Drosophila melanogaster: one gene and its partner. The protein of the gene in region 1 interacts with the protein of each later gene in a pairwise test. Each region holds a gene or a part of one and is shown in the gene's direction. Other genes may lie near its edges.

Evidence for each region. Proteins that work in one complex are often made in the same cells at the same time.
Region 2: the proteins of ksh (region 1) and CG4313 interact in a two-hybrid assay, tested with the Drosophila melanogaster proteins (one large-scale study listed by BioGRID).

The regions. Positions count from the first base shown.
Region 1 is NC_004354.4:19,493,919-19,497,147, reverse strand, and holds ksh (kish), read left to right. Parts: upstream 1-2,155; 5' UTR 2,156-2,245; coding exon 2,246-2,248; intron 2,249-2,311; coding exon 2,312-2,421; intron 2,422-2,496; coding exon 2,497-2,602; 3' UTR 2,603-2,728; downstream 2,729-3,229. Other genes in the region: CG12204 (uncharacterized protein), read left to right, coding at 2,769-3,229.
Region 2 is NC_004354.4:2,050,623-2,054,378, forward strand, and holds the start of CG4313 (uncharacterized protein), read left to right. Parts: upstream 1-2,061; 5' UTR 2,062-2,123; coding exon 2,124-2,683; intron 2,684-3,194; coding exon 3,195-3,756.

The DNA.
Region 1 (3,229 bases):
AAAGCGTAAGGTGATAAGGGAATGGCAAAAACATCTGTACAAAACGAAAGATGGGCACACAACAAGGGCCGAAAAAGCTTTCACGGCAGCAACAACACTGCGCGGCAGAATGCAACACTGTAAAAGCTGCGCAGCAGAGCAATGGCGGCCTACTGTAAATGTGTGTGTGTGCGCGCGGTGGTGGTGTGTGTGAATGCCTGTGTGGTGGGCCATCGGCCAGCGAGAGAGAGCGAGGGAGATGGAGAAACCACAAAGAGAATCTTTCAGTGTACAGCGGAAAATTCACAAAACAATTGCGTAAATGCTCCTTCATTCATCAACATGATAATCAGCATGAAAAACAAAATATTGCTTGTTTACCGTTTACGAATCGAGGCACACGCAGCGATTACCGACTTTGCTGGAAGAGAAACCGATAACAATAAATGCACCCGATGAATACAGAAGGCAGAGTGGAGCGAAACTAAAAACAAAAATAAAGAGCGCACACTAGAGCGCGACTTTTTTGCATTGCATTGGTGTGTTATCGGTGTCGGTGGCCGCTCTGCGCATGTGCGTAGTGTTTTGGTGTTCGCGGGTGTAGGTCCATGGGTGAATGTGTCATGAAAGCACTGGAAGAGGATATAATAATGCAACTCACCTCCGGTTCGCAGCACTTTAAACCGTAGCACTTTAAAATTGGGGGTGGGGTTAAAAGAGCATATACTGTTTGTATTTTACACTTTTCACTCACGATTTACCGCCCCTCGAGTGGGGCACTCCGATAACTTTGGCGCGGATCTATGCGAGTGGCCGTCACTGTGCTGTTAGCAGCTAACAGTGCTGTAATCGCCGACGTCAACGATACACGCAAGTGCGTGTGTTTGGCGCGCGTGCGGGTGTGTGTGTGTACTTACATAAATACACATGCAAGGAACCGATTCGCGGATCATAGCTTAGCTTAATATTGCAGTCGGGAACTTACCGCTTTGCCAGTGCAGCGACTGGAAGTCATCGCTGCTGCTGCTGCCACAGAATGTTATTGTTTTTCTTGTTGCAGTTCCTGTTTGCCTCTCTGTTGCTCCGGCTGCTGTCTCGCTCGTGTTCCCTCTCTCTTACTCACTCGCACTTAACAACAAAACCCAGCGCGCTCGTCACACACACACTGTATTACTGATTTAAATACACACGCACACACACCGACAGGGGGGGCAATGAGAAAACGTATCCGATTATTATATATATGTACATGTATATCTAAATATACTTTTGATTTTTATGAGCGCGCTCAGTTACAATTGCATTGGCAGCACCATCGTATTCACAGACGTACACGCACACACATTGGGGATGCACTCGGTCGGGATTCTCCGCTCCTGCTCCCCTCCTTCATCCCCTCGCGATACCAAGTGGAAAACGAAAACGGGCCACAAAAATGAAGAAAAGAGCCAAGGAAAACGCAAAAGCACGGGCGGACTTAAAGCCAAATCGAACGATTTACTGACGCTCGCCGAGAATTGGCCAAAGCTCACCAATCGGAACAGCAAGACACTGATTTGCCAAGCGGGCGATCGAAATTGATCGGATTATATGTAACAACAAACACAAAAAAAATACCCGCAGCGAATTAGAAGTTGCAGACAAATTGCTAGAGGTGGCCCACTGCGTCGATGTTTATGCGATACTATGTGCGATAAGTGTGGACCCATCGATTGCTGTTCCGCGCCAGTCGATTGAATTCACTTGACCTAATAGCCCGATTCCATTGGCACATATTTCAATTGGGGGAAGCTCCACTGCCAACGTTAATTGAAACAAAGTCTTATCTTATTTCATTTACTTGACCCACGGTTGGATTGCAATACAAGTTCCGATACTATCGAAATTAAGCTTACGTTTTTTTGTATACGATGTCTTTTGTAAACTCTTGCACTTTTCAATACTTCCTATGGCGTTTTTATGCTCCCTGTGGGAACTTGGCTAAGAGCTTGTTACTTTCTATTGTAAAATATTTATCCAATGTCCATCCCAGATAATGGAAGTAGGTCGCCAAAATATGTATTTAATATAAATATATTCTTATATTAACTCCTAAACATTGTAACATTCCTTATCATTCTAACAGTTGATTAACCACCTATCGAATCAGTCGAAACGTGAGATTCCAGTTTTGGAACCAGTTCGCCTGCGCCGAGCGGCTGGCACGTCACTAGTTTACCGCTTGTTGTTATTCTATCGCCAAGCACGGATTTCGATTTGCTAAATCATGGTTTGAAACGCTCACCTAACCGATACTCCTCCGTCGTACACTTAGCACCGTTTCCCTCCACAGAGCGCCCTGTTCAACTTCCACAGCCTGCTGTCGGTCATCCTGCTGCTGATCTGCACCTGTGCCTACCTGCGCTCGCTCTTCCCCAGCTTGATAGACCGCAACAAGACCGGGTAGGTGCCCGTTCCCGCCCTGACCAGTCCACTGATTGTTACCACACTCAACACTCGTCTGCTGTCTGTTTGCAGATTCATGGGCACCTTCTGGAAGCTGGCAAGGATTGGGGAGCGCAAGTCGCCGTGGGTAGGAGCCGCCTGCCTGATCATGGCCTTCACCGTTCTCTTTTGGAGCTGAGCTCCTGCATCCCGCATCCCCTCCAGGAGCCGAATGGCACCATAGATTAGATATTCCAAACTTTCTAGGACTGTAAATACACGCTGCGTTCTGCAGCACTGGCCGCACATTTCGGGCTTTCCCAACACTTGCTGTTCTGTTCTGTTCTGTTTCGCGCTGGCTAAAAATGTCTGGCGAAGATGTGGACGAGAAGCGAGAACAGCTGCGTCTTTTTGTGACAGCCAGCAGGAGGCGTCTCCACGTCATCCTGCAGCGCTTCGGTTGGAGCGAGCGCGGGGTGATGGGGGCGGGTAGCCACAGACCACAGGACAAAAACGGCGCAACTAAATCGGAGGTGTTAGAGCCATTGCCATTGCCGGCGTCATGCAGCAACAATCCCGACTTTAGCATCCAGCTCGATGACTCGACTATTCAGGGCATTGTGGGCACCGAAAGAGCACGACGCCTCCTTCCTGCTGCCTCCTTTGATGATCTGCAGGCAGGACTCGACGCGAGTCAGCGGCTGCTCATCTACGAGCACGTTCTAAAGCACACCAAGAAGCACCCGCAGTTCCAGGACAACACCGCCTTCGCCGAGGTGGTGGGCGAAACCCGGCGTCAGCAAAAGAATCATCGGCGCCACCGCAA
Region 2 (3,756 bases), about 17 Mb from region 1:
CTGCATTCTAATGTTTACACAATTGGACATTCGACATCGATCGAGGCGATCCAACATGGCTGCACTGGGAAAAACGGTCTGTCGCATGGTAAGGAACTGATGGTTGGAGCTACCGCACATATCGCATTAGGAACTGTGACCTGGTAATAAATGTTTTCGGTGCAGATATCGAACTGAAGACGTAGGGATTTGTGCGCACTCTCATTGTTTGTTGTTTGCTGCGGATTGTGTGAAGAACACGATAGTTTATGGCTATCTAAACATGGGCCCGTGCGTGTGCGTATGCGTATAGGCGTATATGTAAGTACGCCGGAGAAGTTTACATTAGTCTGGATCTCTGGATCCGAATTCGAATCCGAAGCGGGCGTCGATTGGCGTTCGAATCGTATTCACAATCATATCAAGAATGGTTGATGAGTGGGGGGGGGGGGGAGGTCTTAGTTTCCACTTTTATGCCCATCCCGCAGGCATTTCCAAGTACAGTGGTGGGCGCAAGGATAGTGCACTTTTAATTTCTTAAAAAATGATGGGATTATACGTTTAGATTAAGCTCGATAAAGCCTTGTATTGTTTTATGAAAACGCATGTTTTCGCAAGTACGAGGATGAGCCATATGTTTCGTTATCACGTATTGTATTCCATCCAGTTCCTAGGATCTTAAACTTAAAAATTTCTCGTCATTTAAGTGAATGCGATATGGCGCTATAATTATATTAATTTCCTCAAGAACTGAATGTTATTTTCTTGGGTAGTCGGCTGCAATTCCCGGACTATTGGCCTGCATGAAAACAAACAACGTATTCGTATTCGTGCCGTTGCCAAAGAGTTTTCCCTAGAACCGCCTGTTTTTCTTTTCAAAAGGCAAACAATACTCAATTCGACCCAACAGACGACCCGCACTCTGACCCTCGGAAAAGTAGAGAGGTTTCCCCCGGCATATTGGCTTGATTAATTAAGACTACATATGTACGCTGACGTCGTGTGACACCAGGCTTCCGGGGTTTGACTCATTATTCGAAACGGGTTATGAGAGCGTGAAAAACGCATAGTCTCGAGTTATGATTCAGGATTAATCGCCCATGACTGGAGTATTCATTCTACGCACAAATTCGATCTATAGGCATATTTATTCGAATGAGTCCCTCTCGCAAAAGTTTTGCTTTTTTTTTCAGTTCCTCGCTTCGAATGGATGCCGCCCATTTATTATCCAGAAAATTGCCAGAGGAAACTATGCAACCACACACACAAACACACACACACATGCACACGACCCAGGAACCGAAAAGTTTTTCATTTCAAAAATGCCGGAGAGGTGCGTATGGCCCGAAATCAGGGCTACGAATAGACTCGATTCATCTGTAGGAGCTTATTCATTGTATTCCCAATATATTCATGTAACCTCTGGCACACCGAATTTTTTAAGCATCCAAGACGTATCGGTCAAGGTATCAATTAAGGAGGGGAACTTCTTACTTCATTGCAAGTGATAAGTCTTGAATTGTGTTAGCAATGCAGATAACTTTCCCCATGCTGCTCATGACTTATATTCCACCAGACTGATGCAAAGACTAGTCTAATGCAAGTATGTATGTTCTGGCTGTCGGAATGCTCAAGTATGTAGCTAAAACGTCGAACCATTTTGGGCAATGGTATCCCTGGTCTAGTATCTGAAACTTTGAAAAACGGCAACAACAGCAACATGACCCCGTCAGAATATCGACGAAAGAGCGAAAGAGTCGAGTGGATTGGGGCGGAATGGGGCGGGAAGGGCGGTTAAGAAACAACACCGAATAGGAACAATGTAAACAAAGCGCCCATTCCACACGCAAATTACCAAATTACCCGATGATGAAGTCAATTGTTGTATACAATAAAAATGTGTGTTGTTGCTGCTGTTGCTGCTCTGAGATTCTTTTGTTTTCCTTTTTGAAAGTTTTTCTAGTTCGCCTGCTGTTTTTTTTTTTTTTCTCAATATTTTGTACGCTTGGCTGGCGGCGACTGCCTTCGGGCCCACTTTTTGGGTGGGAACCATGTCGGTGTATGGATGCGGAGAATTCAGTTTTAGTACAAATTCGGCGCAGGAACGAGCAACGCGTCTTTTGCCGAACACAAAGTGCCGCGCGATGTTCCCACCAAAATCCGGACCAACTCCGCATCCGATCTCGATAGCGCTGCCTCTTTCGGATCCCTATGCTACTGATCACATGGCGGATCAGGACGCGGTGTTGCCGGTACCCCTTTCCGACAGCCTGGACCTGGACGTGGACGTGGACCTCAATCTGAATATGAATCTTAATCTCAATGTAGACGACAGGCGCCAGGTGCTCTTCGAGGGCTATTCGGACGAGCTGCTGACCATCGCCTGGGTGGCCTGCATAGTGTTCATCATTGTGGGCGTTCCCGGAAATTTACTGACCATAGTGGCCCTGTCGCGAGGTCGTCAAACCCGCAACTCCACGGCCATATTCATAATCAATTTGTCCTGCTCGGATCTACTCTTTGGCTGCTTTAATCTGCCATTGGCCGCGTCCACTTTCAAGGAGCGGGCGTGGACCCATAGTGATCTGCTGTGCAGGTTGTTTCCGATGCTGCGCTACGGCTTGCTGGCGGTGTCCCTGCTCTCCGTGTCGCTGATCACCATCAACCGGTACATCATTATCGCCCATCCCAGGCAGTATCCAAGGTGAGAATGGGCCTGCCCATATCGGCATGTCCTGCCTAAATCTTGAAGGGTATTCAGAGTGCCCAACTCTTCCTCTTGGTGCTTATCTGTTTATTATGATACGCATGGTAACCTACCACTTAATCTGAGAAAAAAACCCACACATATGTTATTGTGTTTCTGAACTTATAAACTTTTGAACTTGTTTATAAAAAGGAAAATGTATGGCTTCTCGTAGATGTTTTTTAATTAACTAAAAAAGAGAACATTACTTGCTAGAGGCAAATGCTATAGAAAAGGTCGGTTCAGCGATCTCAATATTTTCGTAATAAACAATTAAACTGAACGGAAATTAATATCTTATAAAATATGAACTACAATATTTCTGGAGAAATAAATAACTAGCTAGTTTTTATTTTCGTGAGCTACGGATATCTTAAAATAATATATTTGAATACAATGAGCATATATTATTATCAAATTAGACATGGTACAAAATACAATTCCCACTGGTTCAAATCCGTTCTTCCAGAATTTACCAGCGACGATATTTGGCTTTGATGGTAGCCGGCACATGGATCACCACGTTTTCCATAATGATACCCACCTGGCGGGGCGTATGGGGTATCTTTGGCTTGGACGTCAGCATCGGCTCGTGTTCCATCATGCATGATCGGTATGGTAGATCCCCCAAGGAGTTCCTCTTCATCGCCGCCTTCATGGTGCCGTGCATCTGCATCGTGATCTGTTATGCCCGAATCTTCCTGCTGGTGCGAAAGGCGGCCATTCGCGCGGGAACCGCTGGCAAGACCAATGTCAGCGATGTGACTCCCAGCTCCGCGCCGCAGCATCAGATTCAAGCCATGGCCACACCAAAGAAGCCGGAGAAGGTGACCACGTCCAGCGGCGAGGCGAACGAACCGATCGCAGGACGACCCTTTGTGGTGGAGGAAAACTTAGCGTATATCGATGACAATGCTTCGACGGACAGTCTGCCGATCTCGTACAGCATACGGAGGAGGGATCAGGACCAGCAGCCACCGCCTGTTGATGCCAATGTGGTGCTCAAGGAGCGGGAGAAGGAAAGGGATCGG